Linked DNA regions of Ovis aries. The protein of the gene in region 5 interacts with the protein of the main gene of each other region in a biochemical or structural test. Links are inferred from orthologs where the notes say so. Each region holds a gene or a part of one and is shown on either strand. Other genes may lie near its edges.

Region 1 (6,530 bases), on a different chromosome or scaffold from region 5:
TTTGCACCCTGGTGTTTGGGGGTATTAGTCTTTAGGGACTACCTGTTTCTCTCAAGACACACTTGTACAAGCAGTAGCTTTAATATCCACAGTAAAAGAAGATTTAATATTTTTGAAATTATGGCCACTCTGGCCAAAGAGGAGAGAAAATTTCTTTTTATTGTTTAAGAATTTAATCTTTCTCCCCTTAAAAGCAACAGCCCCTCTCCCCATTTCCATAGGATTCAATATCAGTAAGCTCTCACTAAATGTTAATGTTTATTGTTATTTATTAAATGCCATGAAGTATCCTTTACATGGATCATGGCATGTAAATTTAAGAGACTCACCGCTTGTTAAATTCTCTAGAAACACACAAACACATCCATACACACAAGTGCACACACACACATACACACAGCAGTAGCAGATCAGCAGAGAAAGACACCAGCCAAAGAAAGATAATTTGAGATACTTCTGAGGTAGCAGTTGTAAAATTAAAATAGGCAACTCATTAAATTATCCATAGAGTGAAAAGAGAGCTACAAAAATAGATATTTTTCTGGCAAGTCAGTGCTTTTTAGAACAAATTTAGTTTTAAGCAGAATCTTAAAATCAGATTATATCAGCTCATATTCACTAGAATCAGTTAAATGGTTAGATTAGCTTTTCCTAATTAAAGAAAAGGATTAGCTTTCCTGGCTTTTGATAGAAGTATATTTAATAAAAACTATGTTCAGTTAGACATCATTTTAACTGACATATTGTAAGCAGTTTGATTAAATGAATGTTATTTGAGCAAGTTGGAGCCTCGTCCCTAAATCACAGAATTAGAAATAAAAATCCTTTGTAAGTCATGCCACAGTGATGATTTTTTCCTTGTTTCTATTTGTTGTTTTTTTGTGGCTTATTATCTATTTTGTGGTCATCCAGGCCTTTGCCTCTCACATTGCCTGATACTGGAATGTTGTTTCTTACTAAGCTTCCCCTAGAGGACAGGCCAGGAAAAGGAAAGAAACTAAATTTCACTAGCTTCTCCTCTTATTAAGAATACAGATTACAGATTCGAGAGGGAAAGAGTCTGGCAAATGAACGAAGCAGCATGTGAATTTTGATTTTAGATATTTTAAAGGTATTCTTTCCAATTTACAGATAGGCAATTTTACAAACAATATTTTGTAAGCCAACAAGAACTTGCTTTTAAAATCCCATTTACTGCCTTACCATATACATTAGATGATATTTAAAAATAACTAGCACTCTGGTTGAAATGGAAATGCTGTAGGCACAGAATGACATAGTGATACCTCCCCCTTATGGAGTGTCTTCTTCCCAGTTTGCAAAGCTCTTTCAGACATTCTCTTCTATCCTCCAAAAATTGCTGTGTTGTAGGTCTTACTATCAATGACACTGAAAAAGCTACAGGCAAAATGAATATATTTTCATCTGAATCAATACTGATATATTCCATTGGGGGAGCTAGACCAAGCTAAAGTCTCACACACAGAAATATTAACATGCAAGACCAGGGGGCACAAAAGTAGGCTAGTTTACTGTTCTTTTTTTTTTTTAAGGTCAAAAATACCCCCTTCCTCTTTCTTCCCCTCTCCTCTTTAACACCTTCTAATGTTCTCTCTAGTTTCAAACAGGACAGTTGAAATTTCTTGCCTTCCTACTGAAGAGCTCCATGTAAATATACATAAACAGTGAGGATCAGGTGCACTATTCTTAAAGTGATACTCATTTTCACAACACCAGGCGAAACCATTTCACCTACAAGTCAAGGATATGTATGTGAGCGCGTGTGAAAGAGGATGACGTGACACTTTTGAGGTTTAAGTTATGAAAGATCTCGAGGTTACAAGAATTAGGTAAGCATTTTCCCTCTTTGTCTCTCGAAGACTCGAAATCTACAATTTTCTCCATTTGACTGTCAGATAAATTGGCAAGTCGACTAAAAGGATAATATTCCCTTAACGGTGCATTCATTTGAAGCCCTAGCAACTGTATTAGGCAGCAGCGAGTATTCGCTAGCAAAGCATTTCGAGGAGACAGGAACTCTGCAATTTAGAGTGACAGATGATTTTTTTCTCATCCATCAAACCGCCTCAAAATGTCACAATATTTACACCTCTTTCTTGGTGAATTAGAATCCAGAGACAGGCAGACGAGGAAAAAAAAAAATGCCGACCGGTTGCCGCTTGATTTGGGGAAAAGCAAGTGTTGCACCTTTAAATTCTGCCCCTCCATTCCCCGTTTCCCCCCCTTCTCGGGATTTTGCAATAAATCTCCCAGTTCTGCGTTCAGCCCTGCAGATCCGTATTTAAAACAGCACCATCTGGGAAGGGTGGGCGGCGACGGTGATGCGGACTCCTTGGAGTTCCTTTGCAGCACGCTTGGAATTGCATCAGACTGATCAGAAATCCCCCCGCCCCCAAGCCCAGCCCCTCCCGCCCCGTTCCCCTCCCAGTCCCTCCCCTCCCCTCCCTGCGCGTAGATCTGACTGAGAAAATGACTGGATCTCGGAACAATCTGTGCCCCATTCGCTGCAGGCTTGCTCCGTAAACCCTGCCCAACGCTCCCTTTGTGTGCGTAGCAGCCTATCACCGTCATCTGATCCTAGTGCCTGGTTGTTTTTTTTTTTCCCCCTTCTAAATCGCCACAATATCCTCGCGTTGCCTATGAATCCATTCTTTTCACCTGAGCAGAGTTGGAATTCTTTCTTTTTCGTTCGCTAAAACAGTCCAGTGAGTTTCGGAAATAGGTTTTCCCCTACGCTCCCCCACCCCCACCTCAAGCCTTGTCTCTTAATTAAAGAGGGCTGATCCAGGAAGGAGGAGTCCAGAACGCACAAGCCCTGGGGTGAAAATTACCACCCGGCTTGGCTCGGAGGCCGGAACAAAGGGGCCGGGAAGTGGGTAGGTTGAGGGTTGTAGGAGTGTGGAGAGGCTGGTAGCCCCTGCGCAGGGGCGCGCAAGTCCCTGGACTCCCAGAGGGGAGGCAAGACAACGCTGTCGCGCTCTCCGGCCGCTCTCTGTCCCCCCGGGACCGAGGAGGGGAGGTGGAACGGAGGACTGGGAGGCTCTGAGCAGCTTTGACCACCCCCGCCCCCTGGCCCACCCGGGCGGCGGCGAGCGGGCCGCCCTCCACACGCGCCTCCGGGTGCAACCTCGCGGTGGCTGGGCGGTCTGTGCACCCAGCTGATTGGTGGCTGGGTCCAGCCGCCGCGCGGAGCTACTCGTGTTCTCCTCCTCCTCCAGCCGCCCAGACCCCATTTCCCGGCCCGCTCCCTGGCTCTTCGGCCCGTAAAGGACATCTCCTCCCAAGTAGAGGCCCCCTTTTCCTTAGTTACCCCTACTGACTCGGACCTGGGCTCAGAGAGGCATCCAGTCCGGCGGGGGAGCGGAGCGCGGTCTCGGAGGCTCCCCTTCCCTTGAGAAAGCGGGAGCCCTCTAAGCCAGCACCCGAAACTCGTCGGGAGGGAGGAAAGAAGGCAAGAGGGGGGTGAAAAAAAAAAACAAAAAACAAAAACAGAAACATCCAGCCAGGCGCGAGGGCGACGGTGGGAAAGAGAGAAAAAGGAAGGGACGGAGGCAGGAGGAGGGGGCGGGGTGGAAGAGGGGGGGCGGGAAGGAGGGAGGGGGAGAGAGAGGGAGGGATACAGAGAGAATGAATCCTTCTGCCTAGAAGAGCTGAAATTACCTTGATGTATTTTGTGTTGGAGATTTAGCGTTACCTCCTACCCTCTCCCAACCTCCACCGCCCCTTTCCTCACCGCACACCACCTCCACCGCCTAATTCTAAATGGTACAAAGTCAAAATTTAGGAAATCGAATGTTGGGTAAAAGCTTCATAATTAGTAATGAACCTACTGTACACACACACACACACACACACACACACACACACACACCAGCAGAGAACGGAAAAGAAGGAGATGAAGGGGAGAAAAAGAGAAATCTTACATTTGAATCAGACATTTGCAGGTCCAAGTTAACTAAACTCATTATATCCGCAGGAAAACTGAGCTTCCCCACCCCCCTTCTCGCTTTACCCCAAGGCTCTCACCTAGGGCAATTCAAACTGGGCAAATACCAAGAAACAACCCCCCTCTCACACTCTCCGTCTACTTCCTCCCCACCACCGCGCGTCCTCTCGGGAAGATCGAGTATCAAAATAGCTCAAAAATTGGGGTTGCAGGGGTCCCCGCCCCGGTGCTTACCTTCTTTGCGGCTTACACCACCCCGGTGGCTAGATCCTGGAGATAAACACTTGCATTTCCCAAAGTTAACCCAGTATACCAACCCGGAGCTTGCCAAGAGTCTATTCCAGCCTACACCGCTAGGAAGCCAACTTCAGCGAGCTCAATGAGGGGACCAAACTGGGGCTCGCTTTCCAAACGCTCCGCTCCAAAATCTGACTCTCTCTCCAGCCCCGATCTCAGTGTGAGCCGAACCTCCGAAAAGACGCTTCTTAAGGGCGACACAGGGCTGGCTTACTGCGGGGCCGAGACAGCTACCTGGGGTACAACCACCTAAGACAAATCCGTCGGCTCTGTCCAAGGTGCTGAATGGGCTCGTATCTCCAGGATTACACACCCGGCGCGGCGGGAGGAAAAGACTAAAAAATCTGTAATTAAGTGATATTTGATATTGCTCTAGACGGTTTCTTCCACTTCCTTACGTTTTGTCACGTGCGGATGGCTTTGCCAAAGCCATCCTGTTAATAGTTGATCACATGTTGATGAGACCCTTTTCTCCTATGAGAGGCTTACCCATTTCATTATCGGCAATATGCCCTTCTGACTTATTTCTCTCCCACCAACCCCACCCCCATCTGCACCCAAACTCCCAGTCTTTATCCTATCCTTACCCCCACTCCACCCCCGACCCCAAACTCTAAGAGCATTATTGTTTTAAGATGGAAATTAATCTTCTTGCGAATGTCAGTTACATGCCCACATATAAATCATAGAATATGCTCATATATCACACACATAGAAGCAAAGAACCGAATGCAAGAAGGCTGGGAGAGAAGCATCAGCCTTGAACAGCCAATATAACACACACACCCTCCCTCCAACTCCAAGTTTGTTCCACGCAGTTCCACATTGCTGTGTTAAATCTCAAATGATTCCAATTAAAGTTGCACTATGTAAAAACCCGATTCTCCTGGCCTGAGTAGCTGCTGTTCTTTGGCGTGTGAAGTGCTAGGAAGAGCTGTGATATGCCCGTTGTTAAGCAACATGTCAAGATTTTTCAATTATAATGCAGGGTTTATTGCTACTCACCATTGTGCCTCTGCTGTCCTGGAGACTCAAGTGTCTTAAAATCCCGTCTCCCCAACAGATGCTGGAAGGTAATGTGTCTTGTTTGAAGTCATCATGTGAGAAGTTCGGCTTTGCTCAGTGGATCGCCCACCACTTGGTGTGACTTATGAATCTAATAACCCTTTGCAATATCCGCAAGCTTAAACTCTCAACCACCTTGGCGACTACAGAAGACAAAGCAACTCGCATCGATGTTGGAAAACCTATAGATTTACGCAAACGCCCTCACTCCGAGAGACACGTTTCCTTTCGAGTTCTTACGTGATTCTAATGAATGAGCGAGGTTACCAATGACTGTCCAAGTGCCCTGCTATATAGCGGTGGTTCCCAAGGCTGCCTTCCAACCGCCGGTCACTGGGTCCTGGCACAGAAAGTTCCCGGGGAAAGTGGGGAGTTTCAGGGTACCCTCATGTAAATAACCCAGCCTGCACACTGCTCCCTTGCCCACTGCTCAGGTCACACCTGGGGCTCTGGCAAAGCTGAGCTCGACTCGGGAGATTTTCCTGTCGCCAGGTAAGAAAACCTTCGCCTAGACAGGCTAGGGCGGGAAGACCGCTGGGGAACTTGTTGCTTATCAGCGCCAGAAGGCTACCGCTTTAATAATTCCAGAAAAACGCAGGGGGAGGGGGGCGAAAGCGGGGGGCGGCATCGACGACGACTATCCGTGCTGTTTACGTGACCAACTTACTGTGACTCCTTTGGTAAAAAGGAAACTTCTTAGAAAAGTTCGTACCCCTCCCCCTTCCCCCAATGACTAAGGGTCTCCAGCTGATGAGGTCGTGAGTGACGATCAAGTCGGAGGGGCGGGGGCGATGGGGGCTAAGCGGGGAGGGGGTGTGGGTGAGTGACTTGTCCTTGGGAACAACCACATGCGCGGAAGCGCGCAGGAGCCCGGCAACTTTCCCTTTCCCTCTTAGGGACTGATGACTAGGCGAGAGGCACCCGAGCGAGCCACTAGTTGCCCACAGGAACCTGTGTAAATCGAGCTCTCGAGCGGCCGAGTTGAATGAAGTTCTGACTGCGTTTGCTGTAATGGTTATGGCTTCTCCAATGTGAGTTAACAGCGCGGGTGCGCAGCTAGGTCGGCATGGCGCACCGCGAAGTGTGGAGCCGCGGGCAAAGGCAGGGAGGGGTGCATCCGCAGCGGTTTGACGCTCCGCGTCCGCTCGGTGCTTCTTCCCCGGAGTCGCTTCCGCATCATCCGGGGGCTCCCGGGCCATCA
Region 2 (6,396 bases), on a different chromosome or scaffold from region 5:
ACAGGAATGGCCAAGAGGGACATGAACAGACCCTCCAGATCGCAGATCATCGGGAGGAATGGAAACCCCACGAGAGAGACCGCCTCGCAGCGGTTACAGGTCGGTTACTCTGGAGAATGGAAAGCAGCCCCTGCTGGGGGGTAACAAAGGGAGCCCCGCGGGCGACTGGTGGGATGCAAACGGGCACAGCTGCCGAGGCAAACAGCGAGGAGGCGCCTCAGAAACGGAGACAGAGGTGCGGTACGACCCAGCAACCCCCGCCGGGCACTGACCCAGGGCCTGAAGCCAGAATCTCCAAGAAAGACCTGTGCTCCCAAGCTTCTTGCAGCACCAGTCACAACGCCAAGTCACGGGAACAACTCAACCAAGATGTCCATCGAGGTAAGGAAAATTCGGGACAGACCCACAGCGGACTACGAGCCTCAAAACAGAAGGGGAACTGGCCCTCCGTGAAGACACAGGCGCTGGGGAGATAAGCCAGACGTATCTGCAAACACTTCTCCACAACAGTGCTTAACACGAGGGGCGGAGAGTGGACAAGAGGCAGACGAGAGCGAGTGAAGGGCTGGTCAAAGGGCGCAGAGTCAGCCGCGCGGCTCCAGCGAGCCCAGAGACTCGCTGCTCAGCGTGCCCCTGGCAACCAGACTGTGCCCATCTGCTGTTCAGTCGCTCAGTCGTGTACGACTCCTTGCGACCCGTGGACTGCAGCCCTCCAGGCTCCTCTGTCCATGGGATTCTCCAGGCAAGAATTCTGGACTGGGTCGCCATGCCCTTCTCCAGGGATCTTCCCAACCCAGGGATTGAACCTGGGTCTCCTGCAAGGCAGGCGACTCTTCACCACTGAGCCACCTGGGAATCCCATTTAAAAATTTGCTAAGCGGGGGGTGGGTGGGGGTGCGGGGGGTGGGTGGGTGTCGATCTTAGGTTCTTACCGCAAATAATAACAAACAAACAGCTCAGGAGAATATTTGGGAGGTGGTGGGTGTGTTTGTGGGCCTGTACACTTATCTCCAAACTAATTAACAACAGAACTTTTCAGAGGTCAATCATACCTCAAAAATGGTAAAACAAAACAACAAAAAGCCAAAACCAACAACCAACCAAAAAAAAAAAAAAAACCACTCCTGGGACCCAGTGTCCACGCACAGTCAGCTCCAGCCACAGCCCTGCACGCCGACCCTGGACCGAGGTAGGAGCCACACCCTGGCCCACAGAAGGACTGGCGACAGTGGACGCCTTCTCCCACCCTGAGCACACGCCACGCAAGACACACCTCACGTTTAGAAGAAAAGAAACGTGATGTTTTCAGTCAGTTCAGTCGCTTAGTCGTGTCCGACTCTTTACGACCCCATGGACTGCAGCACGCCAGGCCTCCCTGTCCATCACCAACTTCCGGAGTTGACTCAAACTCATGTCCATAGAGTCGGTGATGCCATCCAACTGTCTCATCCTCTATCGTCCCCTTCTCCCGCCTTCAGTCTTTCCCAGCATCAGGGTCTTTTCTAAGGAGTCAGTCCTTCGCGTCAGGTGGCCAAAGTCTTGATGTTTTCAGAGACCAAATTATCCCAAGAACAAAACCAAAAGGCTAAGAATCAAAAGTGCCTCGTGCTGGCCCTGCCTCCTGTCTGGGCTCGGCTCTGGGCGGGGAGTGCTGACCCTGGGACACGGGCCCACTTGCGGGCTCCTGCCACCACCCGAGGAGCTTCTGGAAGCTTCTCCGGCTAGGAAGGCTGGGACAGGCCAGCTTGTATTCCACAGGTCTGCTCAGGGAGCCAAAACATGATGCCACCGGGCATGAGCCCCACCCTGAAGACCTGTGTGCTTCGTTCAGCAGAAAACACCCGTACACGCAGTTCGAGAGTTTCAGGGCCGAGAGGCCCAGGAAAGACGTCTAGGCCAAGGCCGGCCCGCAGTGCTGGGGTTTCCAGAGAACAGAGGAGGCCCTCTCAGACAGCTGTGACCTGAGACGGACCAGGTCAGCAGTGGACTGCACACGGGGGCGGGGAGGGTCACTGAGGCGCAGCTGGAGGGCGGGCGACGGCCAGGAGGCGTGAGGAGGCTGGCAGATGCAAAGCGGCGTCTGGACAGACAAGACGGGGCTGACCAGCACCGCCCTGCGGGCAGGAGGGCTCCGGGCAGGTTCGCGGGCCCAAGCGCCCCTTCTTCCAGGAAGCCCTCCGGCCTCTCCAACCCAGAGTGCTCTCTCACCAGGCAGGCTGCGCACACAGTGGTCCTGACAGCTAGGGACCCCGAGCGGAACCCTCAAGGGCACTGGCCTAGGAGCAGTGCGGGGCCTGGGAGCTAGGGGCCTGGGAGCTAGGGGCCTGGAAGCTAGAGGCCTAGGAGCAGTGCGGGGCCTGGGAGCTAGGGGCCTGGGGTATCTACTGGGCCCTGACCGCCCCGCAGGCCGCTCTGTCCCATTCCTCCCCCACCTTTCTTCCCCCTCAGTTTCTTTTCTTTTCCAAAACTTAGTCCTCACTTGGCTCTCTTTCAAGGACTCAGGAATGCTTAAAACTGGAAGACTGGAGCTGACGAGACTCCATTTGAGAGATGAAGACAGGAGGCCCAGAGGCTGGGGAACTTGTAAATACCCATTTCTCTAGAAACACCCCGCCCGAAACAGCAGGGACTGTTATGTTAACGAGGAAGCTGCTGGCAAGCTGCCTCCAGGCGGAGTGACCTTAGGGGCGTCCTTTGCCCTCTGGGCTTCGAGGAAGGTCCCGTTCAGTTCACTTGAGTCTTAAGTTTCAGGTGTTATCCTCCCACCACATGTGAAAGTGAGTCGCTCAGTCGTGTCCCACTCCTTGCAAATTCTCCAGGCCAGAATACCGGAGTGGGTAGCCGTTCCCTTCTCACCACATCCTCTCACCCAATTTATCAAGAACCTGTCTGCTTCCAGGGTTTCTGTATCCCTGACTTGTCCTCATGACCAGCATCACCCGTTTCCTTGTTTCTCCATATAGGGAAACAATGTAGAAAAGGCAAAAACCTGCAAGGCAGGAGACCTGGGCCTGCCCGCTGGGAGGGAATCTCGGCCTCAAACTGACGGGGCAGCCCCTCTGCCCAGGCCAAGGCCTCCTGTCTTCACCTGTTATCACCAGGCCAGGGTCCCTGTTCCCTGATGAAGAGTACAGGCAACGTAGTAAGAGGAACTCTCACCTGTATGTGCGGGCGAGTCTGAGGCTGTCAAAGGCTCGAGGCCCCGGCCAGCAGACCCCAGAGACGGAAGAGACCCCGGCCCGGGCTCTGCGGACCCCAGGATCAGAGGACGCCCTGCCGACCCCCGAGAGAGAAGAGACCCGGGCCTGCGCCCCGCGGACCCTCGAGACTGGAGACCCGGGCCTGCGCTCCGCGGGCCCCACGATCAGAGGACGCCCCGGCCCGCGGAGCCCCGAGGTGGAGGGAGCTGGCCGCCGCTTACCCGCTGGGCCTTCTCCCACAGCTGGTTCAGCTTCTCCATGCGGAACTCCGCCGCGGGCTCGCGCTTCGAGGGCGGCGCGGGCTCGTTCTTCTCCCGCGAGTACTTCCCGGCATGGCCTGCAACAGCCCACGGCGCGAGGAGCAGCAGCAGCAGCAGCGGCGGCGGCGGCGGCGGCGGCGGCTGCCGGACCGCGCGCAGCCCAGACAAGACCCTCCGCGACGCCATCTTCCGCCTCTAGACGCGGAGCCCCGGGAGCTGCGGGAACGAAAAGGTCGCGCCCCGCCCACCGGGCTCGCCCCGCCCACCGGGCCCCGCCGCGCTGCCTCGTGGGAGTTGTAGTCCCTCCCCGGGCGGCCGGCCCAAAAGGAGGCAGCGAGCGGACTACAAGGCCCGGGGCGCCCTGCGGAGGCACGGCGCGGGGGCGTTTCCTAGGCAACCCGACCACGGCCTGGAGTCTCCGGGCGCCTCTGGGGCTGAGTGTGGCTCAGTTCAGTCGCTTAGTCCTGTCCGACTCTTTGCCAACCCACGGACTGCAGCACGCCAGGCCTCCCTGTCCATCACCAACTCCCGGAGCTTACGAAAACTCATGTCCATTGAGTCAGTGATGCCATCCAACCAACTCATCCTCTTTTGTCCCCTTCTCCTCCCGCCTTCAATCTTCCCCAGCATCAGGATCTTTTCCAGTGAGTCAGCTCTTTGCATCAGGTGGCCAAAGTATTGGAGCTTCAACGTCAGCATCAGCCCTTCCAGTGAATATTCAGGACTGATTTCCTTCAGGATGTACTGGTTGGATCTCCTTGCAGTCCAAGGGACTCTCAAGAGTCTTCTCCAACAGCACAGTTCAAAAGCATCAGTTCTTTAGCACTCAGCCTTCTTCATAGTCCACCTGTCTCATCCATACATGACCACTGGAAAAGCCATAGCTTTGACTAGACGGACCTTTGTTGGCAAAGTAATGTCTCTGCTTTTAATATGCTGTCTAGGTTGGTCATAGCTTTTCTTCCAAGGAGCGAGCATCTTTTAATTTCATGGCTGCATTGACCATCTGCAGTGATTTTGGAGCTGAAGAAAATAAAGTCTCTCACTGTTTCCATTGTTTCCACTGTTTCCCAACATCAGGGTCTTTTCAAATGAGTCAGTTCTTCACATCAGGTGGACAAGGCACTGAAGTTTCAGCTTCAGCATCAGTGCAGCTAGGGCGGCCCTAGCTGGGACGGGAGACTGCCGGGGGCTATAGGTGGGTCAGAGATCTGATCTCCCATCCTGGATTGACCCCCACAAGGGCGTTTTTCCCTCAGCTGCACGGGAAGAGGAAACAGTTCAAAACTGGAGACTGTGTCTGGCTGACACCTTAGCTTGTTTCTGTGTCCCCTGCCTCGGTGTTGAGCCTTCACTGTCGTTAGGAACTCTGGAAATTGGCCTTGGCTGGCACCCCACCGTACATGTCTCTGTCAGGAAGCCTAGATACCCCCTCCCAAGCCCACTCCTTCCCAGGGAGCCACAGGTGTTCCCGCCTCCCCAAAGCTTCCCCCTGCCCTCTAGCGAGTGCCTGCACCTCAACGCCAACTTTAAATTGCACCCCCTTCTCCCCCCCGCACTGGTTCTGTTATTAGAGATGTCTGTGTACCTGTTCTCTCTCCCCACTTGCCGTATTCTAGTAAACAAACCTGAATACAGCCAACGTGCTAGGGCCGCTCTCCCAGCGGGGAGACTGGGGGCAGGCAAACAGTGGGAACCAGACGGCGGCCTCGAGCAGCTTCTGGGGTCAGGTAGAGGCACCCATGGGGGTGCTTTGGTGCTTCGAGGCGGAGCCGCGCAAGCCACGTCTGGTGAGGATGGTGGACCGGGCCTGAGAGGCAGTGCCCCAGGGAAGAGAGCCAAGCGTAGCTTTCTTGACATGAGAGAAGCCACTGTAGGCCTAGGCCATGTTGCCATCTCAGCCTGGCCACAGCGCTGGCCTGTGAGGAAGAGCAGGCCTCGGGAGTGAATGACTTTAAGGAAACAAAAGCACGTGAGAGCAAACAGCTATTACCAGGCCAGGGAAGTAATTTAACAATTTAACTGGAGATAATGCGTCAGTCCTGGCAGTTTAGTCTGTACGTTGTGTCTGACTCTGCGACCCCATGGGCTGTAGCGCGCCAGGCTCCTCTGTTCATGGGATTTCCCAGGCAAAGAATACTGGAGTGGGTTGCCACTTCCTTCTCCAGAGGACCTTCCTAACCTAGGGAATGAATCCTGACCTCCAGCATAGCAGGCAGTCTTCAACATATCAGGCAGATTCTGTACTGCTGAGCCTCCAGGGAAGCCTCACATCAGTCACAGAGACTGCCAGTTCTGTTTCCGAGATAAAGAATAGTCTGACGCATACTCTCTGAGCTGTCGAACAGGGTCCAAACCCCCTTGGACAACTGGCCCCCAGACTAACTGGCCGCCAGACCACTGACGATGTTGATCTTTGCTGGCTTCAGTCAGCCAAGACCCTGGCCTCTGTCAGCCTGGGATGACGCTGCCCCAGTGCTATGCTCCATTCCTCTTTGCACAAGCCCTTTCACGAGCGTGTGTGCTCCCGCAGCTTGAAACTTCCCCCATTTTGCTGTCCTGGGATACACTGCATTGGGAAGTACCCCCGAAGTTCTCCTTACTCGCGGCAGATAATAAATCATTCTCCCACTTTTTGATTTGATTGGGTTTGGCTCGATACCCACTAAGAGGTGAACCCAGTTTCTGGGGGTAACAGGAGGGCATTCCAAGTGGAGGGTCCATGAAAGGAAGGGAGCGGAGAAAACCTGGGCATCTTGGGAGGACCTGGAATTTAATTACTTAAAAAGAATTGAGGCTCTTCCGCTGCCATTTTAAATCCAGCTCCATACAATGCTCTGCCGCCGCTGCCGCTGGACGCAGACTGGGCGCCAGCACCCTCTGCTGACAACTCCGCCGCTACCGAAGTCGTGAACAGTGCAGCAACAGAGAAGAAT
Region 3 (4,677 bases), about 6.1 Mb from region 5:
GCTGTATACTGCTAAGTCACTTCAGTCGTGTCCAACTCTGTGAGACCCCATAGACGGTAGCCCACCAGGCTCCCCCATCCCTGGGGTTCTCCAGGCAAGAATACTGGAGTGGGTTGCCATTTCCTTCTCCAGGGCATGAAAGTGAAAAGTAAAAGTGAAGTCGCTCAGCTGTGTCTGACTCTTAGCAACCCCATGGATTGTAGCCCACCAGGCTCCTCCATCCATGGGATTTTCCAGGCAAGAGTACTGGAGTGGGGTGCCATTGCCTTCTCCAAATAGGTGTATAAGCACCTATTTAATCCTAACAACAGCCCTGTGAAATAGAGTTTGTGGTGGTTTAGTTGCTAAGTCGTGTCCAACTCTTTGCAACCCCATGGGCTGTAGCCCATCAGGCTCCTCTGTCCATGGAATTTTTTCAGGCAAGAATACTGGAGTGGGTTGCCGTTTCCTTCTCCTGGGGTTATCTTCTTGACCCAGAGATCAAACCCATGGACCCATGCCTCCTGCACTGCAGGTGGATTCTTTCCAGCTGAGCCACCAGAAAAGCCCTGAAATAATGTTTATTGCCTGCTTTTTATCATTGAGGAAATCAGAGCTCAGAAACATTAAGTAGGTTTCTGCTAACAAGTAACAGGACTAACACTAGGTCCAGTGCAGAGTTCTTCTCATTACACTGATTTAGTAGAAAAGAACAAATACACACTTCTGAAGTTGAGAATGGGGAGAGATGGCTATTGGTTGGGTGATCTGAGAAGGTCTCAAGGAAGAGATGGTACCCATGCCAGGCTGGAAGAGTGGGCAGAGAGCAGAATGACCTGGGGGAGAGATATGGGGAGGGAGTGCATTGGAAGTTTAACACCCTGTCTAGGGGGTGCCTCTAACCCTACCAGGAAGATCTGGGGAAGCTTCCCAGAGGAGGTAACATCTGATACACATCTGCAAGTGTGTGTAGGAGCTCATCAAAAGTGAGCTCAAGAATGGAGCTAGTTTCACAGCAGGTTGCCCTGGGGGTGGTCGCTGGTAGGCAAGTCAGTACAGTTAGGTTCAGAGTCCCATCTGGCAGGAGCTCAAAAGGAGCCTGTACTGCTAGTGGGGACAGATGATTTACACTATTTGGTCTATTCTCACTTAAGATTAAATAATTTTTGAAAAGACACACTTAAAAATGAAAGAGAAAGTGGAGGAGGAAGGAAGGGTGGAAGGGTAGACTGGCTTAGTAAGGGGTCAGGTTTAGATTCTATTTCTGGTTCAGTTTTTGTAACTGTCGGCCTGTTACTTCATTTCTGTGGATCACTTTCCTCGCATATGAAAGGGAGATGATAAATCCTAACCTAAGTCACAAGCTAACAAGAAACTTGAAGTGAATGCATTTGAAAAGCTGAAAAACATCACTCATGAAAAGAGAAAACATTATCAATATTACAGGCATGCACCGGTGGCTGAATAGCTAGACTGGCTCAGACGTCCCAGAGCTATATACTTTTTTTTTTTTTTTTTTTTGCCAGACATGGATTGGCATGTTTGGATTTTCAATCATCAAATCTCAGAGCTGACCTGGTGCTCCTACCTGCAGAGGGTGGGTTCAAGGCTGAGGCTTCAAGATAAATCCCCAGCAGCCCTTCCCACTGCCTTCCCAGGGAATTCAAACCATTGGGCAGGCCACAGCGCTGGGAGAGGTGTCAGACTCACCTTCCCCAAGCCATTCTGCTGCACACACACCACCTGCCCGTGGTGAGACTGCCTCACTGGCGGGTGGAGAACTCGAGCGACTCTTTAAGCAGTACCACCCAGTTCATACCACAGCACTGGGCAGAATTTCTGGGACTCTGTCCGTTCTTTCCAGGAAAAGCTCACCCCTTCTAGATGAGGTGCCCAGACACCAGGTTGTCTGAGCCAGCCCTGTTTAAGCCTGTCACCCTAGCGTTACAGTCATAGCATCGCCTTTCACTCTCAAAAGGGTCCCAGTTTGAAATTCCAGGGTCACCTTGCCCTTAGCCACCAGGGGAAGCCTCCTTGTCATCCTCTGGGAAGGTCAACTCCGAAGTACCCAGAAACCACCCTCATCCAACGCTCAGCGCCCCGCGGAATAATCCTCATTTCTGTTTCATTCCAGGTGCATAGCGTAATGTCCATGTTGTTCTACACTCTGATCACAGCTCTTTTGATCGGCATACAGGCAGCACCGCACACCGAGAGCAATGTCCCAGCTGGACACGCCATCCCTCAAGCCCACTGGATTAAACTTCAGCATTCCCTTGACACAGTCCTCCGCAGAGCCCACAGCGCCCAGGCTGGGCCGATAGCCGCCAGGGTGGCAGGGCAGACCCACAACATCACTGTGGACCCCAAACTTTTTAAAAAGCGGCGACTGCGTTCACCTCGCGTGCTGTTCAGCACCCAGCCCCCACCTGTGGCCGCAGACACTCAGGATCTGGACTTCGAGGCGGGCGGGGCCGCCTCCTTCAACAGGACTCACAGGAGCAAGCGGTCGTCATCCCACCCCGTCTTTCACCGGGGGGAGTTCTCGGTGTGCGACAGCGTCAGCGTGTGGGTGGGGGACAAGACAACCGCCACGGACATCAAGGGCAAGGAGGTGATGGTGCTGGGAGAGGTGAACATCAACAACAGTGTATTCAAACAGTACTTTTTTGAGACCAAGTGCCGGGACCCCAACCCCGTGGACAGCGGGTGCCGAGGCATCGACGCGAAGCACTGGAACTCGTATTGTACCACGACCCACACCTTCGTCAAGGCGCTGACCATGGACGGCAAGCAGGCCGCCTGGCGGTTCATCCGGATCGACACGGCCTGCGTGTGTGTGCTCAGCAGGAAGACTGGGCGGAGAGCCTGACCTGCAGCAGCCCCCACCCTTCCTTGCTCCCCTCTACACTCTCCTGCGCCCCTCCCTACCTCAACCTGTAAATTATTTTAAATTATAAGGACTGCATGGTAATTTATAGTTTATACAGTTTTAAAAAATCATTATTTATTAAATTTTTGGAAGCAGCTTGTGTGCTGGCCCTCCAGTCATTCTGCCCAGGGTGACAGTTGCAAGTCTTGGTTCGGAGGCTGCAGGGAGGAGGGTCCACAGTACCCCCTGGCTTTTTCTCAGTGTGTGTGCGCTCATTCGTGTTTCCCTCTGTGTGACCCCATGGACTGTAGCCCACCAGGCTCCTCTGTCCATGGGATTTCCCAGGCAAGAATACTGCAGTAAGTTACTATGCCCTCCTCGAGGGGATCTTCCCGATCCAGAGGTTGAAACACCATCTCATGTATCTCCTCCATTGCAGGCAGAGCTTTATCACTGAGCCACCTGGGGTATCTTACTCTTTCTCTCAGACACACCTGTAACCCTCACCGACCCGTCACTCCCAGCCAGCCGTGCCACTTCAGGGAAAGCTAACTGGGTTCAGATATTAGCCTAAGCCGGGCATGATTAGGAAGGGACGTCTGTTGGATTGCAACTTTGTTCTGCATTCCAGAGCCAAAGATACCTAATCCTTGGATTACCTGCCCCACAGCCCAGATTCTTGAGCCTTGATTGCTTCATTTGGGGAAATTCATGGAGCCTCATTAGAAGGCAGATCCCTGCCGGGCATAGAGCTACCTCCCACCTCAGAAGGGCCCAGGCTGGGTCCTGGAAGGGCTCACTAGATGGATAGGAGGAGACTTGCACCAAAGACTGAGGCAGGCTCTTTTTGTGAGAGGATGATCTGCTTTTTTTTTTTTTTTTTTTTTTGCTGAAAAGCTCTCTCAAAGAGTTGTAACAAAATAATCTCAGGAGGCCTGTCAAGGTAGATCTGATTACATGTTAAGATTGCCTTAGTTCTAATGACTGGCCCTCAATTTATTCCCCGGTAGCTTCCTGCAGAAAGACTCCATTCCCCCCAGAAAACATGACGACCTCTAACACTCCTGCCACCTATTCACGGCCCCACAGCAACTTCCAGTGGCCCCAGCATCAGTCCAGAGTCACAGGAGCCAGAGACCAGACCAAAAAGAACCTTTTTTTTTTTTTTTAAAGAACTTTTAAATTCCTACCGGGGTGACTTCCACAAGTGACCAAAGGTGGATGGGGTCATGGGACCTGCAGAGAAGATGACAAAAATGAGTGAGAACCAATACAAACAGCCGGATAAGGGGCGGAGGAGGGGTGAGGACTCTGCTCCTCCCTCACAGAGAACACTAGACAAGAGAAAGACAGGGGGTCAGGGGGTCTGATGATGGGATCACAGCAGAGGAGGAAGGTATGTCATCTTTACCAGCATCAGGATCCCTGGGCCTCTAAGAAATCCAACACCCTGGGTAGTTGCCTGGGTTGTTTTGGGTTTTTGGATTGTGTGTGTGTTTAGGCTGGGGGAGTGCTCATCCATACTGGCTGTATCAGGAGAGTCTTAGAGATAGTTGGAGGTGACAGGGACTCCAGGTACAGCGTGGAGCAGGGCTCTGTCCATCCTCAAGGTGCCACTTTCCCCTGCAACGTTTCTGTCTGTTTGGTGTTTTGTTTTCTCCCCAAAGGCGCAGAATTTTTTCACTTGGAGCACTTACATAGGGATGAAAATTTTGCTTTCCTACCCTTCCTCTTCCCCCCAGGGTAAAAGGCCGATCTAGTTTCTTGTAACAGGCCGAAACTGTCCCTCTGATTAAAAAAGAAAAAAGGAAATGGTGGGGTCCATT
Region 4 (5,817 bases), on a different chromosome or scaffold from region 5:
AAAAAGGAGAAAAAATATCAGAAAATGTAACAACTATTCACTTTGATTTAAAAATTTTCACTGTCGACGGGATCAACTGCTTTAAAATCTTCCCTCTCTGTTTTCCACTTCTGTTTTTCCAGGAGAAGAAAAAATCAGAGTTTCATATTTCAAATTCAAAGCTCATGTTTTGAAACCCACAGGCAGGCAAGCCATTAATCAAGCCTTTCACAAATTAATGATCATCACTTTCCAGACAAGAACGAGCGCAAATGTAATTTCACAAGAACAGACTGTTCTCGTGGTTCCCCTAATATGCCTCACAATTGGGTTAGGTAAAGAGCCAGGGAAAAATAACATCCTTTGTGGGGTTGTGATCAAGCTCTGTGTTCTGTCTTAAAGTGAAATCATTCTTATATGCCTGTGATTGTCTGTATATCAAGCGTGTTTATAATTAAAGTTTTAAATTAATAGCTTTAACTTCTATTGAAAAAAAAAATCCCGTCTAATTTCCCTAAGCTCATTCCGTATAGGAAGAAATAAGCTGTACCACGTTGCTGCCAGTCCACAGTACAGGTCTCCTAATAGCTAGCAAAGAGCCAAGGAAATGGATGCCTGCATTGTTCTTTCTTCTTTGCTAGGGAATCATGAAGTAAGATGCACTGCCTTTGCTAGCAACTTTAAAACTGAAAGCAGCAAGGCGAACAGGCTCAGCTAAAAACCACACGTTTCTGGATTTCTATGAAGACCAGAAGACAACACGGTTTTCCACTTACGTCATGATGAGAGTCTCTTCCCCAGGTTCACCCAGAACCCCATCCACAAAAAGGGGAATAGATGTGAAACTGTATTTGCTCCAAGATCTCCCTTCATCAAAACTCAACCTGATGACAGAAAAAAATAACAGTCATAGGCTCTCAAAAGAAAATCCTTTCAAAGAAAAGATACTACCAACCAGGACAGAATATATTTTAGAAGTACCTGGGGCATTGTCAAAGTGAGCCTTTGATATGAATAAGTGTTCTTAATTACATCAGAAGGTGGATATACAGCTAGCCAAGTGATTTGGGGCCCAGATGTATTATAACATCAGTGGAGAGCTGTATGAAATGGGAATGGTAAGTCGCTGATAGAATTTTTTTTAATTTGGATATCTTATTAGGTCTTAGATCTCAATGTGACCCTCTCTAAAACCCTGCAGTCATCTAGCAGCAAGGCTTGCAGGTGATTCTGAGAACAGTCACCTTCTGAGACCACTGTGATGGACTTGAATCAGCCACCTCCATGTGATCAAACCCTTAGTGGTATCCTTCGTACATTGTTACAAATCCTGGCTGACCCACTGAGCGACGGGGTGCAGAACAGGCTCTTGAAAGTAAGAGAGGACTCTGCATCTCTGATGGTCATACAGGATGTTGTTTCCTTTCCTCTGCCTTTCTCTGGGATGCCTTCCCTCAGGCTAAGCCTCTGGTTCTCTTATTTCTGCAGCTTTCCCTTTGGTCCACCAAAGAAACCAACCCTGGAGGGAAAATCAAGCCTCTCACTTTGAATGAACCCGCCTGTGGAGAGAGCCATTTTCAAAAACACAGATAAAGGAATCTATTGAAAACCCCTCTGGAAGTTAGGCCTTGCATGTTCATCTATAGAAGACCGACAGGGAGAGTTTCAGAAAACCACCCTCTCCTGCCCGCAAAAATGAGGCCAAATGGGATCAGAGCAGAAGTGACACGCACTGCTGATCTCTGTGCAGAATGAACACAGTGAATGCAAACATTAAACTTCAGGAGACAATATTTGGGATAGGTGGCTGTGAGAAATTAAGCTATTCAGAGATTATCCTTGACAACCATCCTACCCATGACTGTACTGGAAGAGTGCGGCGCTGGAGGTACTGATGGGGGAGAGGGGAGCTGTCACATTCCAAAACCATATATAATTCCTCTCTAAAGGGCAGAAGTAAGCTCCTTTCTCTTTCTCACTCTCTCTCTCTCCTTTCCTCTTGCTTCTTATAATAAAGCAAAGGTATAAGTTATACTCCAGGAGACCATGATAATTTACTCCAAGCACAGTTATCGTCTGTCAGCTTGACTTAGACTGGTCTTAGCTGTGTGCAACCAGGCCTGGGTACAGGATTTAGGGGCAACAGGTGCCTTTACCAGAGATGTCGAATTGGGAGAGATGTGTGCTTCATGGCAACCAGGACTCCACCTTGATCCAGATACAAAACACTGTGTTCTTCTTCAAAGATCTGGAAGAGGAAAAGCACATACACAGCCCCCCACCCCGCCACACACACACCCAGGGTTCAGAGAATTAGTCTTCATTTGAGGAAAAATAATCTCTCCATGAGCCCCCATGATAGAACTGCTGCTGCTGCTGCTGCTGCTAAGTCGCTTCAGTCGTGTCCGATTCTGTGCAACCCCATAGACTCCAGTATTCTTGCCTGGAGAATCCCAGGGATGGGGGAGCCTGGTAGGCATGATAGAACTGGGTCTCCCCAAATCTGTGGAGAGACACAGTTATGAACAATGCTTCCCCAGGTGGGTGACATGTACCACTGGAGTTCCATAAAATGATTTTAGGTGCTCCACAAGAGAAATTTAAATAATGATGAAGAGTTATGTATTCATATTTCTATTTCTGTCATTTTGTGGTGAGCTCTATTGGGTTCCATTTATGATTATGTTGACATTTGTGCAACGGTTACACTGGGTCACATCTTTAGATCAGAGAAACCTTGGAGACACTCTATTCCAATACTCTCATTTTCACAGATGAGAAAACGAAGGTTTAGAAAGAAGTGGTGACTTGCCTAGGACCAGGTAGACGATAATGGATGATGCCAGGACGGGGCGAAAGACAGTGTCCTTTCCACATGCAATTACTTCAAAGTTTCCAAGTGTTACAGGGGACAGATGTTCCTGTTCAACTCACGGATTCTCTAGTGAGTCATAGAGTAATTCTGATCAAAACGAGATCATACCTTTGGGTACATTGTCATCGAGTCTCTTTCTGTATGTGGAGGGAGGAATCTGAGGTCAAATGCAGACTGGCTGGAGACAATTTCTAAGACCTCCCCATACAAGATGCATCTTTTTTTCTCACAGTCACTCTGTTAGTATAGTCTTGTCTGTGATTACACTATAGACATAATTGTTGCCACTCTGTCTACTTCTTACATTCAAGATGTACCCCAGGACTATAGGAGAGACTTATTTGCTTTGTTTGAGATGTTAGAAGGAAAAAAATGTGACCCTGGCCTCTAACTATTGTCCATAGGAAGCTTAATAATGCCTGTTCTTATATATATCCATGGAGAAGGAAATGGCAACCCACTTGAGCATTCTTATCTGGCAAATTCCATGGACAGAGGAGCCTGGAGGGCTACAGTCTATGGGATTGCAAAGAACTGGCCATGACTGAGTGACTGAGTGCATATATCTCCAAGATCAAAACCCCTGGAATTTCTTAAGCAAGTTTCTTTCCTGCCCCACTCTTCTCAAAATATGTGAATCACAGTGCAGATCTATGAAGCTAGGAGATGGTAACTAGACCGTAACATGGGCATCTCTGTCTAAAATTTAAAGCGCAGTATTCTCACTGCTATGTGATTACCTGTGCATTAGATTTCAATTTATGGTGCTAGTTATTGTATGATAATTAAATGTCAGTGGCTTATTAAAGCATATTTATTGAAGTGTAACAACCAAGCATTAGGCACCTATTTTGTTAGGACTGCTAAACCTCATTAAGCGCCTGTTTTATAAGCTAGGAGTATCTAATTTTCATTCAGAAGAAAGGGGAAGCATTTAAGCTAAACACACTGGCTGAAAGTGATTCCGTTTCTACTCTCCCTAACATATGCGCCCTGATGCTTATTACTCTGTCTTCTGCACATGAGCTTTAAACATCTCAGAGCACCACCTGGGTAATGGCTTTTTCTGAATCACTGCATTCTCCTCTATTCTGACTTCAAGGCAAGAGGAATTTACAGAAGTAACCCGGCATTAGATAGATAATCTCCCTTCCAGGCTTCATGTTCCCTACATAATAAACTCTCTAGATTTCCAGCTTTCTTTTAAGGGGAAAATTCAGTCATATCTAATTTGGTTTCATTGTTACTTTTAAACTTTCTTACATATAGGCTGTGATAAAGTGTCAATTTTTTAGGACTTTCCTAGTGGCTCAGACGGTAAAGAATCCTCTTACAATACAGGAGACCCAGGTTTGATCCCTGGGTCAGGAAGATCCCCTGGAGAAAGGCATGGCAAGCCACTCTAGTATTCTTGGCTACAGTATCTCATGGACAGAGGAGCCTGGCGGACTACAGTCTATAGAGTTGCACAGAGTCAGACATGATGAAAGTGACTAGGCATGCATGCAAAGGCTCACTCATCACGCAAAGAAATCAAATTTCATAAATATTTGTTGAACTCAGAACTTCCGTAAGCCATGCATAAAACAAAAAAGGAAATAAACACATTGAGAAGCTTTAGGATTTATGTGTGACTAAGTTCCCAGAACTGAAACAATCTGGACAGTTTTTAACACATTTAAACACCAGTAACTTAACCAGGATACTTTCTTACCTGCCTCCAAGTGTTTCCCGCATCTGAAGAGACAAACATGCTGATGTCACTGTCTGACAACTCAGAACCTATATTACCTGGAGAGAGCACATCACCATTAGTGAAGAGAACTTTCTGCAAAAGCTAACGATGGTCTGTGCTGGCAGTGTGCACTGCCCGAGGTGGATTTCCACTGCAAACACTATCTGAGCAGGGGTTTTCAGCATACTTGCTTCAGGATCGGTGGCTTAGGTGCCTTTCAAAAATATTTTTAGCTTGCTCATTAAGTTCCAAGCACAGCTACTGGGCTTCTTAAAATAAATACAATTTATAGCAGTGAGCAAACCAGGCAAGCTGCTTACCTGAAGCCACTATGATGCTGGGGGCTGTGTCTCTGCTGGCGATGATCCCTGATGTGTAGGGATTCTCAGAGACCTTAAGGTGAAGATGTAGGGAGCAATAGGGCTGAGAAGAGGAGAAATGAGGATCATGAAAGTACACCATTTAAACGGTTGTTTAAAGCTCAGATTCAGAGCTCCTATCCGTTCATTCAACCATCCCACCCATCCATCCCCCCACTTTTCATTCCACAGATATCTGGTGCCCACTAAGTATAAGACAGCTGCCAAACTGTTGAAGGAGAGAGCATTTTCATTTCAAGTCTAGTCTACTGATATAACTGCCATTTGGCCATTCGACAAACATTTTAATACTTTATCTGTAAAACACATGGTGTAGTTTTATGAAAGACTTACCACTGACTAAAGTTTGGTCTCTGCCACTAAGGAGTAACAATTTAAGATCTTTCTATTGATTACCATGAAGGAATATATTTTAACAGCCATGAGATAAGTACAGACAAAATATGAAATTCTAGGGGTTAGGAGCCTACATTTAACTTCGGTTAAGGGGAAATTTCAAGGAGAAAATGGTGTCTGAGGCAAAGGTGGGTAGGATTTGAATTGCAGATGAGATGCTCAGAGGATAAAGGACATTTCAGGCAACAAAGAAAAGGAGCAGAAGAGTGGAGCTGTAATACAACAGGTAGTTGGGTAAGACCAATGAGGAGAAATGGGGTTTGAGACTGGACAGAAAGCGCAGCCAGGCTAGGGGTGCTCTGAAGAAGTCACTTAGTCATATGAAGCCTTGGTCTCAGTTCTGTAGAAGAAGCTGTATGACACGTGGAACTGTCCTTACATCTGCCAGATAACTGACATAGTTCTGTGTAAGGATATTATCAGATTCAGTGTAATTCAACATAGAAGTTCTT
Region 5 (5,817 bases):
AATATGAACTGTCTTCACAAAAACTGCCTTTAGAGTTCCCTGACTTCTGTTAATCTTACTGCAGTTTCCGTTTCTCCAAAATTCTCCATCCACTCCCTCCCCTGCTTTCCCTACAGCTGTTAATCCATTCTGGTGAGAAGACAATTCACCCATCTGCTCATACATTCTGACAAAAGTTCATTTGGCACATTTACTTTTTCCTGACTTTCTAGCCATAAAATGAACTAGCAGCAAAATGGCAGTTACCAAAGAATGTCCCCAGTCATAATTATTGGGAGAAACTGTGACCAGCACAGTAGGTGTGCGAAGACTGAAAACGTACTGCTATGTTCGAGCACAGCGAACAGTCAAGCTGTGCTAAATGATGACAGCTTTCCATCACTGTCTGGCCACCCAGAAATCCACCTTGCTACATTTTCTAATTTATGTCATTAAAAAAAAAATGTCAAAGGGAACATTTTATTAAATTTAAGATATGAACTTAATGTATCACACAAAACATCAATCTGCACTAGAAGTGTGTTTTTCAGTTGGTTTGGCTCAAAGTTTCAAGCCAACAGACTACTTGGGAAAGCTGGGGAAGTGGAGGGGTAAGGAGGAGAACTTGGTAACAAAACTGAACTTTTTTTTAAAGCCTGAATCTGAACACATGTCTAGTCACGGCTCCATGTAGAGCAGCGACCTAAGAGGAAGCGAATAAGCAGCCACTCTAATGCTTCACGGATGAGTCGTCCTCAGAGGCTGTGCCGTGCATGCCACCAGCCGCTCCAGTGAAGAGGCTGCTCAGCCTGGGTACCCAGCTTTGAGCCCCATCCTTGAGCAAGCCCACTGGCACACACATAAGGCATGGCTTGAAAGATCTTGGAAGAAGCAAGAATTTCTCCTTTAATAGGTGCTAAATCTAGTCAGTTCTCTGCTGTTCCCTTCTTCCTGCCCCAAGTTAAAAATATTGCCCCTTAAGTTTTCCTGATTTAGTGTCTTGGAAGCACATGTAAGTTAGTTGCCAAAGGGCAATTAACAAGGGTATTGCCTAATTAAACAGGGGAAAAGAAAAATCACTGTGGCCTACCGCTCCTGAAAGAAACAACAAAAAGCAGTGAACTGTGTGAGGAGCTGGTGCGCACTATTCTTGGAGTGGGGCTGGCCCCAGAGAGAGAGAGGCTGCCCAGGCTGTGCCAGTCATCGCAGCCTCTCTGCTCATCTCCGCAGCTGCTTCATGGTGCTGGCACTGTCCAGGGATGGCACAGCCCAGGGATGGCACCGAGGGCTTCATGAGAGTTGATGACAAAGCTGGCCGGTGCCCTGGGGTAGGCGCCACACAAAACATGCGACTGTGGGGTTAGTGAAAAGTTCCCTTCAATTCCATTTCATTTCCCTTAAAAACCAAAACCAAAAAGGGCCCATACCTTGCAAAAACACAGAACTCGTAAAGTTAAAGAATTAAAAATTTCCCCTCTCTTCTTCGAGCCAACTGGCAAGAGTGTTTCAGGTCCCCACCCCACTATTTCTTTAGTGTAGGTCCTTTTGGCTTTGATGGAAGCAGCAGAAACAGAGCTGGGTCCTTCGCAATGGGAAATTTATTTCCCTAAGTCGGAGCCACAGGGAGTGTAGGAGGTACTGCGGATCCATCATTCATACTCAGTCCCAGCTCTTTAGAGGAGCTATTCCAGAAGGTCCTGAAAAAAAAGACATGGGCCATATTATTTACAGACCAAAAAAAAATCCCTAATCCTTATTTTGAAAGCCATTAGGTAGCTTCTGGGTTGGCCAAGTCTTAGTCATTAAGTTGCTGCTTCCAGCTTAAACCCTCTGTTGCTTCAAACATACCTTGGTCATAAGTAAAAAAAGAATCGCTCTTTTAAAAACTTCTGCACCACCCCTCAAGAAGAAACAGTCTCACCTCATCTGAGTCATCATGATAACCGCTTTTGTGAGTGTGGGAGGCCGTATCCAAAGCATCCACACCATCCACACCATTAGCCTCTGCGTGCTGCTGGAGCACTGAGTATCGATGCACCAGGAACCTGGGGGTGGAAACTGCTGTCAACCCTCAGGTGGTGAGGAAGAATGCATTTCTTATAGGGCTGTGGACTTTCCAAGTTTTACACACTCATGGAATGAGTCACACATACAAGAAGCACAGCCTATAGTTAGCATATGAAAAATGGAAGGAAAGATTTGAGTCTGATGTTTCAGTAACGTCACTTCAACTAGTCAGTTTTCGCCAGCAGCAGGCTCTGCCCTTGGCTGACTTGTGGGTGTGACTGATTCTGGTTCCTTACCTTCCACCACAGACGTATTTCTTCACAATGAGCACTCCTGCTATGACTGTGACCAGCATCAATCCCACAGTGGCCAGGATAATTGGAACAGAATTTGACTTGGAATTCTTGATAAATTAAAACACAAACACACAATCAATTTTGGGTGTGCATATTCCAGGACTGAATTCAAACAGGCTGCTCAATTTCTCATTTCTCTGTTCAACGATCTGCAGTCTCTAGGCACCTAATGATGAAATGTTCCCAAACCCCTCAAGATGACCATCTCAGTGTTACCAGGAGAATACCACAGCTGGCAGAGGGTAACTGAAACTTGAGCTGCCTTGAAGCTGTCAGAATAGTGCAAACTCCGGGGCTTTAATGTCGAAGTTACACTGGAAGCTATGGTAATTACCTAGATCAAATATAATTGTGGCTGTTCGCCATGACCACTGATTCTAAGTCTTGGCGCTTTTAAGGGTGAAGCAGAGAAGGAGACCGTGACAGTAAGTGGGTGAATGAATCTAGCATAGGGCCATCACCTGGGGAGGAGCTGTGCCAATGCTTTGTCAGGCAGGCCCTCCCATGATACCAAGATTCGTCTTTTAAATTTTCGTATGTTGTTATAAATAAGCTTTGTCATATTGTTGTTTGAGTGTGACCTACCTGCTTCTGGGTGGGAGATAGGGAGTGTGTGTTTTCAGTGTATCCCAGAGGAGGCGGAGCTGGATTCTGGGACAAGCTGTGTCCCTGTGGGCGGGAGTCCTGTGCAATCACACACACAAACACTCTGAGGACAGCCACCAGGAGTGCAGGGCAGTGATGCAGAGAAGCAGGAGCTTGCCCCCAACAAGTACACACACCCACACACTCTTCTCCCCCTGCCTTCTTCCACCCCGTCAGGCCCTCAGTCCTGAGAAGGTTAGACAGGAGGGACTGCAGACTGCCCATCTCTTGATTTCCAGATTAGGAACCTGGGGTCCACAGTCTTCTGTTCCCAGTCACACTGCTGGGCCAGTGCTTCTTTATCACGAGGGTTCCTCTTACCAGATCCCCATATCCTGGCCAGACAGCTCAGTGCTACAGATCTGGAATCAGCCCCAAACTTGCTTCTAAATCAAAACCAGCCACTTATTACCGCGGTGCAGGTTTTCCTTATGAACATACCTGACAGACTCGGCAGAGAGATCCCCACTAATTAGGGCCTCATGCCCTTCCCTTCCACATGCGCAAAACCCCAGCCCTTGATGGCAGGACTTGTTGAGTCTTTTTTCTAAGTGACTCTGAGCCTCAGAATTTTTCTCAACCCTAAGCTTCTAAGACTTGGATAAATACTGAGCACCATTTTCCCTCCCCCAAAAAAGTTTTCAGTAGATGAGCTTATTGTTGGCTTAAGTGACCATCCTTCCATCCTAACAGTTTCCTGTGCAACGGGAAACCTGCCATAAGTGGTCTGGCCACTTGTATTAGGTGATAAAGTTCTCGACACACTGCAACTTTGACCTTCCTGGCGGAACTCGAAACCCCACTTGTATCTACACTAGATCTACTTTAACACACCTGCTTTTCTGGACTCAAAAAGTTGCTTGTGCATTTCTTTTTCAAGTCTTTCACTTCTCGAACTGGATTCACGCCACCCTGGCATTTGTCTCCTGGGATTTTCCGGTACCTGAGGGGCAGAGAAAAGGTGTTGACAGAATACAAGGATGCACTTCTGGATTCTTGCTCACTTCCTGAAAACAAGATTTGAAAAGCTGCAGAAAAACTTCTGGTCCTTACACCGTCTTTCAGGGCTTGGGGGAGATCCACAGGGGTGTTGGGGGGATATGCTGTGTAGTTTCGGTCCTTGGACAGACCACACATCCCTTGCCATGCTGCATGACATGCCGACTTTCTGCCCTATGAGACTGCCGGGGAAAGCCCGTCAGTATGCAGTATAGATACAGGGGAGGGGAGAGTCATCAGGGGAGTCGGCAGTCAGGCTCCTCTAGAATGGCACTCTCTGCTATGGTGACTATTTACTTTTAAATTAATCAAAATTACTTCAGTTCCTCACTCCAGTGTCAACAGCCACAGAGGGCTAGGGGCCACAGCAGGTCACAGAGCATTTACCCCATCACAGGAGGCTCTACCGGACAGTGATTTTCTACTCTCTCAAGTACTCGGAAGTGCGTGGAGGGCAATTTCTCCCTGCACAGGGGAAACGCAGGCCCGACACGGGAGGAGAAGCCGCCTCACCCGCTTGTCGTCAGGTGCTCTTCTCTTCCATACAAACAAAACTCGAGGTCGTGGCCCTTCAGTTCTGGCTGTTCCACACATTTGGAGTCATTTTCTGGACGGAAGTAGCCAAAATCACTGTAAGAATCAGCAAAAAATGTATCTTTCGAAGTTGCTGAAAGGAGGCAAATAGCAGTGAAGGTTTTATGTGGGGCAGAGGATGGTTAATATTCCAGGCGTGGGTTGCCAGAAAGCAGCTAAGGAAGTCTGTGACATATAAAGAGGTCTCTTTAGGAACAAAATCACACAGACAGGGCTTAATTGGCAGGAGGTGCGGGGGCGGAGGGGGGGTGGGGGAATGGCTTATAGATTGGGCCTGGTGGACTGAGGACTCAGTAGCTAGGAGGTTCCACATAGACAGCTCACGTTCAGGGAAGGGAAAGCGTGCAGTCTATAGGGGGTGGGGATACACGCAACTAAGACACAGAGAAACAGTGCGTCAGCCACAGACCTAAACGCATGGACACTTAGCAGTTCTTCCATCTCCAAATAACTCATTATGTCATACCCATGAGAGTGTATATCAAACCTTTCCTGCCTTCCCCACATCTGTGTCCCTCTCAGCTTCTTAGATGGTGCCTGACGCCAATGTGAACGCCCATCCCTGCCCTCCATCCCATCCCATCTCTCCATAGTGCTCTGCTTTCCCCAAAGAAAGGACATGCAGGGCCTTGGCACCTCGTGCCCCTAGGTGGGGGCTTGCTGCATGGACAGCGTGGAGGGGCCGCCAGTCCCCTCACCCTGCCACTTCTCCTTAGCCTGCACCTGTCCTCTTCCTTCACCACCCTCTCTCCCTTATTGGCCAACTTTCTCTTCTACTTGTTCTGTTTTACTCATTTACTTTTTATTCTCGGCATCTTGGCTTGAACCCCCCGCTGCAGCCTTGAAAATGAATGTCTGTGCCCCCGCAGGCCCACCAGTCACCCAGCCTTGGGGGCTTCTCTGTCTTGTCCACTCTGGGCCCGCTGGCACGCCGCTGTGCCACACCCGCTGCACCCGAGAGCTGCACTCATCTGTTTCTCTGGCCACTGTTGGCTCTGCTCTCTTCCTAACACGCAGGTGCAGACGTTGTCCAAGATTCTATTATTCGTTCTCTTACTCTGTATCTGCTCTCCCTTCGTGAGCTTAACGACTGGCTGCAACTAAACTTCCAGGTTTGGACTTCCCTGGTGGTGCAGTGGAGAGGAACTCACCTGCCAACGCAGGGGACATGGTTTGATCCCTGTCTGGGAAGAGTCCACATGCCTTGGACCCACTAAGCATGGGAGCCACAACTACT

The links.
Region 1: the proteins of SORT1 (region 5) and BDNF form a complex in vitro, tested with the Homo sapiens proteins (2 studies listed by BioGRID and IntAct, with this or other methods). The link is inferred for Ovis aries from reciprocal best matches to the Homo sapiens genes SORT1 and BDNF.
Region 2: the proteins of SORT1 (region 5) and LRPAP1 form a complex in vitro, tested with the Homo sapiens proteins (4 studies listed by BioGRID and IntAct, with this or other methods). The link is inferred for Ovis aries from reciprocal best matches to the Homo sapiens genes SORT1 and LRPAP1.
Region 3: the proteins of SORT1 (region 5) and NGF form a complex in vitro, tested with the Homo sapiens proteins (3 studies listed by BioGRID and IntAct, with this or other methods). The link is inferred for Ovis aries from reciprocal best matches to the Homo sapiens genes SORT1 and NGF.
Region 4: the proteins of SORT1 (region 5) and SORCS1 form a complex in vitro, tested with the Homo sapiens proteins (2 studies listed by BioGRID and IntAct, with this or other methods). The link is inferred for Ovis aries from reciprocal best matches to the Homo sapiens genes SORT1 and SORCS1.

The regions. Positions count from the first base shown.
Region 1 is NC_056068.1:57,195,488-57,202,017, forward strand, and holds the start of BDNF (brain-derived neurotrophic factor), read right to left. Parts: upstream 4,427-6,530; 5' UTR 4,202-4,426; intron 1-4,201. UniProt on the Homo sapiens protein: Important signaling molecule that activates signaling cascades downstream of NTRK2. During development, promotes the survival and differentiation of selected neuronal populations of the peripheral and central nervous systems.
Region 2 is NC_056059.1:116,077,923-116,084,318, reverse strand, and holds the start of LRPAP1 (alpha-2-macroglobulin receptor-associated protein), read right to left. Parts: upstream 3,662-6,396; 5' UTR 3,647-3,661; coding exon 3,422-3,646; intron 1-3,421. UniProt on the Homo sapiens protein: Molecular chaperone for LDL receptor-related proteins that may regulate their ligand binding activity along the secretory pathway.
Region 3 is NC_056054.1:92,651,953-92,656,629, reverse strand, and holds the end of NGF (beta-nerve growth factor), read left to right. Parts: intron 1-2,113; 5' UTR 2,114-2,125; coding exon 2,126-2,851; 3' UTR 2,852-3,006; downstream 3,007-4,677. UniProt on the Homo sapiens protein: Nerve growth factor is important for the development and maintenance of the sympathetic and sensory nervous systems.
Region 4 is NC_056075.1:27,058,341-27,064,157, forward strand, and holds part of SORCS1 (VPS10 domain-containing receptor SorCS1), read right to left. Parts: intron 5,013-5,817; coding exon 4,910-5,012; intron 4,646-4,909; coding exon 4,569-4,645; intron 2,228-4,568; coding exon 2,136-2,227; intron 864-2,135; coding exon 756-863; intron 1-755.
Region 5 is NC_056054.1:86,585,460-86,591,276, forward strand, and holds part of SORT1 (sortilin), read right to left. Parts: intron 4,617-5,817; coding exon 4,500-4,616; intron 3,931-4,499; coding exon 3,822-3,930; intron 3,027-3,821; coding exon 2,928-3,026; intron 2,390-2,927; coding exon 2,283-2,389; intron 2,025-2,282; coding exon 1,859-2,024; 3' UTR 1,677-1,858; coding exon of another isoform or gene 1,662-1,676; 3' UTR 1-1,661.